Linked DNA regions of Arabidopsis thaliana. Each later gene encodes a partner of the first gene's protein in a complex. Each region holds a gene or a part of one and is shown on either strand. Other genes may lie near its edges. The genes, in order: KINESIN-13A and RAC10.

The links.
Region 2: KINESIN-13A (region 1) and RAC10 share a complex: the UniProt entries of both Arabidopsis thaliana proteins name them as parts of the active ARAC10-IRC5-KIN13A complex.

Annotation. Positions count from the first base shown.
Region 1 is NC_003074.8:5,661,917-5,670,108, reverse strand, and holds KINESIN-13A (P-loop containing nucleoside triphosphate hydrolases superfamily protein), read left to right. Parts: upstream 1-2,157; 5' UTR 2,158-2,541; intron 2,542-2,612; 5' UTR 2,613-2,694; intron 2,695-2,793; 5' UTR 2,794-2,847; coding exon 2,848-3,036; intron 3,037-3,482; coding exon 3,483-3,704; intron 3,705-4,103; coding exon 4,104-4,283; intron 4,284-4,394; coding exon 4,395-4,496; intron 4,497-4,647; coding exon 4,648-4,725; intron 4,726-4,969; coding exon 4,970-5,051; intron 5,052-5,187; coding exon 5,188-5,350; intron 5,351-5,597; coding exon 5,598-5,927; intron 5,928-6,119; coding exon 6,120-6,338; intron 6,339-6,428; coding exon 6,429-6,999; intron 7,000-7,110; coding exon 7,111-7,176; intron 7,177-7,266; coding exon 7,267-7,449; 3' UTR 7,450-7,734; downstream 7,735-8,192. Other genes in the region: TCTP (translationally controlled tumor protein), read left to right, coding at 1-189, 283-400. UniProt on the Arabidopsis thaliana protein: Internal motor kinesin involved in trichome morphogenesis. Participates in regulating the formation of Golgi-associated vesicles.
Region 2 is NC_003076.8:25,235,297-25,239,940, forward strand, and holds RAC10 (RAC-like 10), read left to right. Parts: upstream 1-1,666; 5' UTR 1,667-1,939; coding exon 1,940-2,044; intron 2,045-2,504; coding exon 2,505-2,592; intron 2,593-2,736; coding exon 2,737-2,846; intron 2,847-2,954; coding exon 2,955-3,018; intron 3,019-3,108; coding exon 3,109-3,173; intron 3,174-3,266; coding exon 3,267-3,332; coding exon of another isoform or gene 3,333-3,403; coding exon 3,404-3,516; intron 3,517-3,606; coding exon 3,607-3,643; 3' UTR 3,644-3,966; downstream 3,967-4,644. UniProt on the Arabidopsis thaliana protein: Involved in local disassembly of cortical microtubules when associated with ICR5 and KIN13A.

The DNA.
Region 1 (8,192 bases):
TGTTGACATTGTCGACACCTTCAGACTTCAGGAGCAACCAACTTATGACAAGAAGGGATTCATCGCTTACATTAAGAAATACATTAAGCTTTTGACACCCAAGCTCAGCGAAGAAGATCAAGCTGTCTTCAAGAAGGGTATTGAGGGAGCTACCAAGTTTTTGCTCCCCAGGCTCAGTGACTTCCAATTGTAAGTTACCCCAATCTATCGTATCTTGCTTGTTATACATGACATATATTTCATCTGAAATCTCATCAATGCTTGTGTTGTCTGATTTTACAGCTTTGTTGGGGAGGGTATGCATGATGACAGCACTTTGGTCTTTGCTTACTACAAGGAGGGTTCAACTAACCCAACATTTTTGTACTTCGCTCATGGTTTGAAGGAGGTCAAGTGCTGAGAGAGAAGCTCTCGTTGGGTTACTGTGGTCGGTCGCAGCGACTCTCTAAGTTTATGTTTCTTTATATTGTCCTGTGTTTCGTCGTCGTCCCCTATTAAAATTACCTGCCAGTTTACTTTTCTCTCTTCTTGTTTTCTGTGTTGGAAGATTCTCAAGTTATTTATTCCGCAAAAAACGGTTTATCATTTACAATTAGTTGAATTTTGGTCGTTACTTTTTGTGTTATTTGGTGTGATATCTCTTCAGCTTTGCTTTTCTAAATTAAACTCCCGAATCTCGAGGCATGTTTATAGTAGATGTCTAATAATTTTGGATTCAGATCTTATGGACGTGAATAAACGAGTGGGTTACTCTAACTGTTAGTAACTTTAAATCATGGAATATGCTGTAGAATGATTCTTTTGACTTTAGTCTAATGGTGTTTTATCCCTTTAAAAAGAAAAAGTTTCGTACAGACATGATGTCTTGAGACATCATCATAGGCATGTTCTGCTCCTTATCAAGGATTTCTATCTCACGTGCGGAATCGATACTAACTAGAGTTCTGTCATCTTGGTTTTAGTTGTGAGACAAATCACAATGTGGCCGTAATAATAATGTATTATGTGTATTCTTTTACTTTGACAAACAACACAACCTATCCTATGCTTTACTATTCTTTTAGTTTGTTGGTTTTATTATTCGAACTATTTATTTATGTATGTGTGGTGTCCGTATGGATGAGAGGGCAACCAAAATGCGTTGGTACGTATTTGTGTCTCACGTAAAAGGAAACGTGATTTGGTCTTGGTCGGTTTGACGTTGCTCCAACTCTCTTGTATCTTATGTATTTATCGTCATTATTTCTTCAAACTTTGTTGTTCCTTTCGTTTTAGGCTTTTAGCCTACACTATTTAAACATTTCTTATGTAACAAGTAGTATCAACTTCTATCTATATGACTATATTGACGTAGCCATACAAAGGAGGTAGATCATCTAAACTTACACAAAACTAGAGAGACCAATGTTTTTAGGAAGGATAAATAAAGGAAAAGCTCCTTTCATACTGGTTTATATAGTGATTACTTAAAATCAGGAATCCTTTAGATCGGAATGCTTTAGGCTAAAGCAAAAGCTTTTTGATTCAAAAGAAAGGAACCCACAAGCTGTATTAGCCCCACTTCGCTACTTTTGCATATTCTCGTTCGTATATTTTATTGGATTAACACTTTTTTTTGGGGTTTAAACAGTACACATACATACACAAGATTGGTACTTTTGATATACACTCACTTATATTCGCACATCTAAACAATTCAAAATTTGAAACCGTATAAAAATTTAAACAAACATAAGAATATATAAGATTAGATCATTGTCATGTACTAAAATTCCAAAAGTTGTGGATTTCATGTCGAGAAAAACTCATGTCATCTTCCTCGGACAATTTCAAATTTCATCTCTATTACCATAGATGGTCCAAAACAACATCCTTAAATACCATAAAGTAGCTAAAATCTGAAAATGCACATAACTGATCAACCCACCAAGGTTATATTATTAGTTATACTACATATATAATAAACCAATCAATGTTTATGCAATCTGCTCAAAAAGGTATGAGATTCATACCGTATGATTCAAGATGAGAACATCAATTCTATTTTTATGTCACCATGTTGGTATATGTCCTTGTGTCACGATCTCAGCAAAAAAATAATATTTCAACACTATCTTTTAGAATATATAAGACCGTTCAAAGAAGATTGTTTCAAATGTTTTGGACTAGACTGTACAATCTTAAAAAGTAGGACAAATCGGTGAATATTTCTGAAGTTAAAGGGTGATCTAACTGTCACTTTTTTAAAAAACTTTTAAACACCTCAAACTTTTTAATTTATTGTGTAAGTGTCTTATACTTTGTCAAATCTTCTTCAACGCCCCTCTCTTTCTCATCTCTCTGCGCCTAACGTCGCTTACGGAAGAAGACGAAAATTTTGAACAGAAGCTCTCTCTCTCTATCTCTCTATCTCTCTATCTCTAACGCTATTCGATGTGCGTAAATTAGGGTTCTTCACTCGTCGGATCTGATTGTATATTGTGAAAATCTCAGATCTCAGATCTCTTATCTAACACCGTTGCGTGTCTTCGTTTCCTTCTGGTAATCATTACTTTGGATAACATCGATCTTCTTCTCCGATTATTGGATGCAATTTATTGATTGAATTTCAGATTTTGAAGGAGGTGAAGCAAAGTCGGGAGCTGTACATTTCCGCTTTCATGTTCTGTGTTGAATCCGAATTCTCTCCACATTGTGAGTTTCTCTTCGATTTGAATCTAACATTCTATTGTTGAAATTAGGAATTTTTTGATTTGTAACAAATGGGTGATTCTGGTTTTTGTATGGATGAAGAGTTGTTTTTACAGATCTCCGAAGTTGGCTCCTCAAAGAAGATCACAGCGCCTCATGGGCGGCCAAATGCAGCAAAACAATGCTGCGGCTGCGACGGCGCTTTACGATGGGGCTTTACCCACTAATGACGCAGGAGATGCAGTCATGGCACGGTGGCTTCAATCCGCTGGTTTGCAGCATTTGGCGTCTCCTGTTGCTTCTACAGGCAATGATCAGCGTCACCTCCCAAACCTTCTCATGCAGGTAATTGCTTTCCCTGATTCTTTGTTTCTGTACTCTTCCAATATTTTGCATGCCCTTTAGTTTTCTTGATGGAGTTTGCCCTAGCTTGGTAAAGTATGCAAATTTTGTATTAGACGCAGATAGCCAAGTTTTGTTAGAGTTTTCGGTCGCTAATTCCTGCGCACATTTGGTGTTAGACTACTAAAAACGCTGCAGTAGGAAATTAGGAATGTAGGATTGTTTCTCCCTGTTATGGATATTAGTCATAACGTATCTCAAGGAGAGCTTGGAATTTGTTTGGCCATTTATGTAATGTGATTAAGTTAGATGTTTGCTGCAGGGTTGTTAGTGATTTCTTCTTCGATTGGTAAATTTCTATAGAAACTTTTGCCTTGGCTCTTGTATAATTCGCATGAACGGGTTCTGATATTTGAAGCATCCTTTGTGGTGTTTGCGGTATCTGCTAGGGTTATGGAGCTCAGACTGCTGAAGAGAAACAAAGACTGTTCCAACTAATGAGAAATCTCAATTTTAATGGGGAGTCGACTTCTGAATCATATACACCAACTGCTCACACATCAGCAGCTATGCCCTCTTCGGAAGGATTTTTTTCACCTGAGTTCAGAGGTGATTTTGGAGCAGGATTATTGGATCTTCATGCAATGGATGATACAGAGCTTCTATCTGAGGTATGCTTGGAAGAAGAACTAGTGCAAAGACTTATTCATAGTTACTCATTAGTGCCCATGGATAACAGAAAGATCATAAATTTTCATCATCAGATTGTCTGTTCTTGTGTTACATCCCAGTTTTCAAACTGTTCTTGCCAATCTTACATTGCCATATTGAGTCCCACCTAATCCATTGGCTTTGTGCACATGTAATCTATCTGCGAGACTTCTGTAGGCAACTTCTGATCTTGACACTCGAATGGATTTAGCGAGATGTGACAGTTTTGGTCTTGTTGTCATTAGAAAAGCATCTGAGCTAAATAACTGCTTGTTGCATTTGCTAGTTCATAAAGAAAGCGATTATCCATGTGAAAGTTACCAACTTTTATGATACGTGACTTTCCTTTCATTTTGCAGCATGTGATTACCGAACCCTTTGAGCCGTCACCTTTCATGCCTAGTGTAAATAAAGAATTTGAAGAAGACTATAATTTGGCAGCTAATCGTCAACAGCGGCAACAGACAGAAGCTGAACCTTTGGGTTTATTGCCTAAAAGTGATAAAGAAAATAACAGTGTAGCCAAGATTAAAGTAGTGGTAGGTCATTCACTTGAGAACTGACATGTTTCCTTACTACTTGATTGTTTTATAAGCAACGTTCATTATGACTAGGGATGATTGGGAAACCACTTTTTTTTTTGTCTATAGGTAAGGAAAAGACCCCTAAACAAGAAAGAAACAGCTAAAAAGGAGGAGGATGTCGTGACGGTATCTGATAATTCTTTGACTGTCCATGAGCCCAGAGTGAAGGTTTGTGTGCATTCTTCATCATAGATAACAATGGCAAACATGATTCAGTTGAACAACTGAACGATGGCATCCTGCTATTAAAGGTCATATATTCTTTTCATTTAATATTGTCTTTTCGAATATTGAATGAACCGTAATCTTGTTGGTGCAGGTTGATTTGACTGCTTATGTGGAAAAGCATGAGTTCTGCTTTGATGCTGTTCTAGATGAGGATGTTTCAAATGACGAGGTAAGTTAAGAATTGAGCTTATTGGAAACCATAGAAAATCCTATTAGGTGTCCGTGATGCAACCTTGAGCTTTGGTAGATTTATGATTTATGTCAAGGTCGACATACCTGATTGACCTATTAACTAGATCATAGCATGTGGTTTCCCCCAATCCAGATTGGATTGATGTATGGATACATTAAGCTTTTTATATATACAGAAGCTTTATGCTGCTTTGAACATGTTTGTTTGTTTCCTTGAATAGGTGTATCGGGCCACAATTGAGCCAATAATTCCCATTATTTTCCAGAGAACTAAAGCTACATGCTTTGCATATGGCCAAACAGGTATGCAATGACATTAATGTTCATTGGGAAATACACTGATAGTTATACTCTTGCTAACAGATTCCAGTTTTTAGAGGATAATAGATTAATAGTTTCTTCATGCTTTCATGGCCCTAATGATGTTTTGCTTATTCAGGTAGTGGTAAGACATTTACAATGAAACCATTACCTATACGAGCAGTTGAAGATCTTATGAGGTTGTTGCGTCAACCAGTATACAGCAATCAGAGGTTTAAATTGTGGCTCAGCTATTTTGAGATATATGGTGGAAAGCTGTTCGATCTTCTCAGTGAGAGAAAGTTAGTGTTCTTTCTTTTTCTCATTTCTTATAAATGTCGTCTTTGTTGAGGGGTTTTATGTTTTCCTTTTCTTTTGGCATATACTTTGTTCAGGCATATACTAGCTTATAATTGTTATTTCGATGTCAGTATATCGTAAACATTGGCACTTATTCATCCTATCAGTGTCAATACTTTCCATTGTTGTCTACTACTATCGCAAATGCATGTTTACCATTGTCTAAATCATTCAGTTATTGCCGAGTAGGAAACTTTGCATGCGAGAAGATGGTAGACAGCAAGTTTGCATTGTTGGCCTGCAAGAATATGAAGTTTCAGATGTACAAATTGTAAAGGATTTTATCGAGAAAGGAAATGCCGAAAGGAGCACAGGTTCAACTGGAGCAAATGAGGAATCTTCTAGATCGCATGCCATCCTACAGCTTGTTGTAAAAAAGCATGTTGAGGTAAAAGACACTAGACGGAGGAATAATGATAGTAATGAATTGCCTGGGAAAGTTGTGGGAAAGATTTCTTTCATTGACCTTGCTGGCAGTGAAAGAGGTGCAGACACCACAGACAATGATCGCCAGACAAGGTAAAGATTCTCTTTGCCCCTGTGATTGAGTAGTTTGAGAATTGACCTACCACTAATGTGTAGATTAAAATTTATGCCTCTGTTGGACTTGTGGGCATTGATAAAGTGGCACTTTGCTGCTACCTTTTTACTTTAGGACCACCACACTTCAGATCTAAATGCTTCATTGTTTTCATTGTGGATTTTTCTTAGGATTGAAGGCGCAGAAATCAACAAGAGTCTCTTGGCTCTTAAGGAATGTATACGTGCACTGGACAATGACCAGCTACATATACCATTTCGTGGAAGCAAACTAACGGAAGTGCTCCGTGACTCATTTGTTGGAAACTCAAGAACGGTGATGATTTCCTGCATCTCTCCAAATGCAGGATCGTGTGAACATACCCTCAATACTCTAAGATATGCTGATCGGTATGTTTTGTACAAACTATAGCCTCTTGTGAAACAAATTCTCAATTTCATCGTCTATTAACCTCTGTTGGTTATGTATGGAATAAACAGAGTCAAAAGTCTATCTAAAAGTGGAAATAGCAAGAAAGATCAAACTGCGAATTCAATGCCTCCGGTTAATAAGGATCCTTTGTTGGGCCCAAATGATGTAGAAGATGTCTTTGAGCCTCCACAGGAAGTGAATGTACCAGAAACCAGGAGGAGGGTGGTCGAGAAGGACAGCAACAGCAGTACGTCGGGTATTGACTTCAGACAGCCTACAAATTATCGAGAGGAAAGTGGAATCCCATCATTCTCAATGGACAAGGGAAGATCAGAGCCGAACAGTTCTTTTGCTGGCTCCACTAGTCAGAGAAACAACATTTCTTCATATCCCCAAGAAACTTCAGACCGTGAAGAGAAAGTAAAGAAAGTGTCACCACCTCGTGGGAAAGGGTTGCGGGAAGAAAAACCAGACAGACCACAAAATTGGTCTAAAAGAGATGTCAGTTCGTCGGATATCCCTACCTTGACAAATTTTAGACAGAACGCAAGTGAAACTGCTTCAAGGCAATATGAAACCGCTTCAAGGCAATATGAAACCGACCCTTCGCTTGATGAAAACCTCGATGCACTGCTTGAGGTAAAGTACTCACCTATCCCTTTAAAACATGAGATGAAGCTGTGAATTTGATTTGCAAGTAACGGTAGTTCTGTTTATGTCTTATCGTAACCATCACATGACTTTTTTCAGGAAGAAGAAGCTCTGATTGCAGCGCACAGAAAAGAAATTGAGGATACAATGGAGATTGTTCGCGAGGTATGTAAATCACATCATTGCAGCGCACAAAAAACGATTGTAGAATGTTATCACATCATTCAATTTTCTTTTCTGTTATATCATTATCAGGAAATGAAACTTCTAGCGGAGGTGGACCAACCGGGAAGCATGATAGAAAACTATGTGACGCAACTGAGCTTTGTGTTGTCCCGGAAAGCAGCAGGGCTAGTCAGTCTTCAAGCCAGGCTTGCTCGGTTCCAACACCGTCTCAAGGAACAAGAAATACTGAGCCGTAAGAGAGTTCCTCGGTAGTTGGTAGAAGAAGGAAAACCAAAAGTGTGGTGTTGTTTAAGTGTGAAAGGTTGGTTGGGTGATCTCTTCTTATATATGACAAAGAATGACAGAAATGTCCTTCATGTTTGTGAATTTGGGCATTTCTTTCCTTTTATTTTTGAATCTTTATTATAAAGTTATACCTTTTGTGTTTCTTATTTTTCTCTTCTCCTCTATCCTCCCAGAAAGCTGGATACTGTCAATGTGAATCAAACTCTTTTATCAATCAACTGAAAAAGTATAAAACCATTTATCATCTGAAAATGTTTCAAAATTTGGTGAGCCATATATAAAATCAAATTTCTAACAATTAATAAGATCTTCAAATACCATCTATATAGTGACAACCAATGAAAAGACAGTTGAATAGCTCCAAAAGAACAAATAAAGCAATTCTCTCTTGTCGTAAAGATAAAATGGCCAACAAGATTATGCAGCCCAACTAAAAAGGCCTTGGCCCACACTTTACTATTGATCACGTGACATGCCTTTTTCACGATTGCAATATAAGAGCCATTTTCCACCGTCCGATGTTAAAACCCAAACCGATTTAAACCGTCCATGAAAGTCGCTTATCTCCTTCTCCTTCCCGTCGTAGTCGCACTGTCGCAGGCGAGTAAAAGGCGATTTATACAAATACAAAAAAAGCGCATGAAGTTGTTTTTTTTTCTTTCCAGACTTTTGCCTTCTCTAACCAGGTTAGATTCTCGCCATCACTTTTT
Region 2 (4,644 bases), on another chromosome or scaffold:
AGGAACAAAGAGGGAGAAAACACGTGACCTGGCAAGGGACTTCCATTACGTGGGTCGGCTCGTTTCGGATGTGGCCCATATATTGAGTTGTCGGGCCCGTTGCATTTGTTTGTTGAGTTCATATGATATATTCGAAAAAACTTTTACTTTTTCAATATTAACCCAACTTCAAATCCAATAACCATATTTCTTACTGCCAAAACTCGGATTTGTGATCTTCAAGTCTTTTTCACTTTATGGATAATTTCCACTGTTAATCACGTTTTGCTTTTACGCGCATCAACTGTTGTGGAAATATATATTTATCGTTTGTTCTTGTTTCTTTTCAATGACGCTATCCTTACACCAGCACGACATATGCTCCTGTTACATGTCTTCCTTAGAGACCAAAAGTTATGGATTCACTTGTACACACATACACATATATTGATTTAGTTTAATGTGATTACTAGTCTCCTTTTGCGATTTTCGTTCTTACTAGTCTCTATATTTATCTGGTTTAGGCCATACTTTTGTCATTGTATTGTATTATTAATCAGCTACTTTAATTTGTACTTGTATTTTGGAGCTTTTGGTGGAAATAACTTGCAAAATACTAAAATATTGGACCAGAGAGCGATAAGTTCCCGTGGTCGTCCTTTTGAAGACCTCTCTAGTTAACAATACTTTTGCATTTTCATATTTATGGTGGTTGCGTCGCCGTCGATATAGTCGTAGGTATTACTCCAATAATTAACTTACCTTATAAAATAAAATCATTTATCTTCTGCTTTTGGTAGATGTTCACACAGTTTGGCTCCAACATCCACCTATAAATGATTATTTAAACACATGACAAAAACACTTTTACTTTCTAAACCATGAGTCTGCAATTATATCCATAAACAAACAAAAAGGAACTATTTGGTAAGAGTATTCAATTTTTAATAACTGTATTAAAAGTTGCTTTGTGAATATTGAGAATTTTTATTGCTGGTTGTTGCCAACGAAACTCTTGTTGGCAATTTTAAATATCTTGAGTAAATTAAATTAGATGATAAGTTTTTTTAAAAGTAGGTCCACATAAAAAAATCCATATATCCTAATATAATAAATGAATATCCTAAACTAAAATTACAATTTTAGAATTATCAGTTTTACACTTGTGAATTGTGATATAAGTAATGTTGAAAGGTTGGTCTTAGTGATTTTGCTATAAATTTTTGTTGCTATGATATTCTATTATTTTATATATTTTGTAACCCTAGCTTGTAAGTTATGCTATATACATTATATGATATGTAAGTCTCGAGAGAAAAACAAAAATAGCAAAACATGTATTCGACAGTACATGTTAATGTATACAAATATGGTATATCCATCTTCACTTGTCACTGTGTGGCTCAACGTGACACTATTATTAACTTGACGAATATCTACCTTCTCTTATAATTCGATTCGTAACGCCATACTTGTATGTAATACACATTATTTCATTTTCTTACAATCCAATACAAGTGTAATAAACACTTAAAAAAAAAAAAACAAGATTGAACCACCAAGATTTGGTTAACAAATTCCAATGCAAATTTGCTCGTTGGAGTAATAAATGAACTACAAGAATTTGGAAAAGGAAAGCTTGGACGATGGATCATGTGAGTCATCACCGCTCTTTCTCTATCTTCAAGTTCAAACCAAAAACAAGCCACCAAATACCAATAAACAATTTCGTTTATCTAATTGGAAATATTGAAAAAACAAACAGAAAAAAGTAAAAAAGGAACAGAAAAAAAAGCCATAAATTTATGCAACAAACCCTACCTTCTTCTATGCTCTAAAGAGGGTTTATTTATCTTTTACTCCTCTTTTTAAGTAATCTCACTTCATTTATCTCTCTCTCTCTCTCTATTTCTTTTGCTTCCTTTTGGTATTTGCTTTGTATGTTTGTTTTGAGATCAAAATGGCTTCAAGTGCTTCAAAGTTCATCAAGTGTGTGACTGTTGGTGATGGTGCTGTTGGTAAAACCTGTATGCTCATCTGCTACACCAGCAATAAATTCCCCACTGTAAGTTCTCTTTAAAAAGACCTCTCTTTCTCTCTTGAATTTTGATCAGGAATCTCATCTGGATTTATCAGATTTAGCTCAAATTTTACAAAATTTTAATCAATTTCAGTATCTGGGTCTACTAAATTTCAGCTTCTTATTGCCATAAAGGTTCTTAGAATCTATCTGGGTATGTCAAAGTTAGCTCCTTTTTCCTAGGAACTGTGCATGATATAAGATCCATTTTTGGAGATTTTGATTTTTTTTACTTTTCATAAGTATGTGTGGCGCATCTGGGTTTTTGCAGCTTTTGTGTATAGTCCAGCTTTATGTTATCTTTTTTCATTTAACATCCTCTGGAGTCTGGATTCGTCAGACTTTTTCTTCATTGCTATTATTATTATTATTATATGTATATATGCTTGATTTGATGATTGAAAGTTTGAAACTGTGTATTGATTTGATGAATTGTTTGTAACAGGACTACATACCAACAGTTTTTGACAACTTTAGTGCAAATGTTGTTGTTGAAGGCACCACTGTCAATTTGGGGCTTTGGGACACTGCTGGTATGAACACTCTTTCTGAGTCTTGAATCCTATAGTGGTTTATAACATTCTTATTGGTCTAGTTCTTTCATTTGGTTGATAAATGAGATCCATTGAATAGCTTTGTCTCATATGAGGTTACATATGTATATCCTTTGTTTGCAGGGCAAGAAGACTATAACAGATTAAGGCCTTTAAGTTACAGGGGAGCAGATGTTTTCGTCTTGTCTTTCTCATTAGTCAGCCGAGCTAGCTACGAGAATGTTTTTAAAAAGGTCTGATTGAATAAATGATCCTTTTCTCTAATTGTTGAAAACGATAAGACTCTTATAGTGTCAGAATGAGTCATTTCTAATGTTATATGACTGTTCTTATTGAGTCAGTGGATCCCTGAACTCCAACACTTTGCTCCAGGAGTTCCCCTTGTCCTTGTTGGTACCAAATTAGGTAAGAATAACCGATGAGCATTTACCAACAGATTCCTCTTAACCGTTTAGTTACAATTCATAGCTAATGATTCTTACAACACTGGTGTAGATCTTCGTGAAGATAAGCATTATTTGGCTGATCATCCTGGACTATCCCCTGTAACTACTGCACAGGTTTAGTCTTAAAGAGCCTTTTTACTTTAGATTTCATATAATTCCACTATAAGGCTTGATGGTATTAACTAAATGAACATTTCTATCTGATAGGGAGAGGAGTTGCGTAAGCTAATTGGTGCGACGTATTACATTGAGTGTAGTTCAAAAACTCAACAGGTATATGAGGCAGCTTCTTTATGTTACTCTTTTCTTCGGATTAACAAAGCGATGAAGTTTATATATTGCAGAATGTGAAAGCAGTTTTTGATTCTGCGATAAAGGAAGTGATCAAACCTCTGGTTAAACAAAAGGAGAAGACTAAGAAGAAGAAGAAGCAAAAGTCGAATCACGGCTGTTTATCGTGAGTATATATACAAATCTTTACAAACTCTGCATCTACAATCTTATGAAGGGTACTGATTTCACCTTTGTGTTTATTTTGTATGTGCAGAAATGTTCTGTGTGGGAGGATAGTGACTCGGCATTGATGACGATGACCCAACTCAGTCTGATGATTTTAAACTCCACTTTTGAGATTGTGTGATAAACGAGAGACTTTATATTATATAGATTGAATCATGTAAGAGATTATTAGCCTCTAATCAATCAATAGTTACCTTGAAGAGAGAAAGAGGGGGAGGTAGAGAGCTTATTATTAATTCAATTGTGTTTATTTGTTTCAAACCTGTTATTGCAATATATTAGCCATTTTGATACAACAGAGAAGCTCTCTCTTCCTTCGCTTAACCCTGTGAAGACAAGCAGTTATTGTCCTACATTAGCAATCAAGTAATTTTATTTTGTTTGTTAATGTTGATCTCTTGTCGTTACATTGTCCAGTGTCAGTCAAATCACTGTCCTCAAAGTACAACTGACCAAACTTTGTCTCTCTTGACATAGACATTAAAACTTTCTACATAAGAGTCTCATATTTCAGTAGTCGCAGGCTAATTCCAGTCGGTTCCAATGACACATTGTCTTCAAGATTTTGAGACAGCAGTTCCAAAGGTTTTTTTATCTTCCACCTGACCAAAAAAAGGAGATTAAGCCATAAAAAGATGGAAGCGACGAACTCAGTCGAAGACTTTCCGATGAGACTCGAGTACACGAGAAACGACCACTGGACTCACCAGACCAGTCCCAAAGGCAAATAAATAACGGAGTAAAAAAAAAAAAAAAAACGCCGAGTTTCATCTAAACATAATAGAACAAATGTCAATGGGTCCGAGAGAGCCTGTAAGAGCATAAATGGGCTTTAATCGGGCCAAATTAAATGTAACTCTTTCTGTTGTTGTTTTTCCGGTGTACCTCTCTCTGTTTTTTTTTTAGCTCTTTTTGGAAAAAGCAACTTTTTCTTGATTTCTTTTTGACGTGAAAGCAGGCTTTTCTGTTAGGCAGATAAAAGCATATTTTTATTACTTAAGACCATTTCCTTCGTAAAAGAAAGCAAAAGAAATATATAAACCGGACAAGGTTAAAAGATATGCGA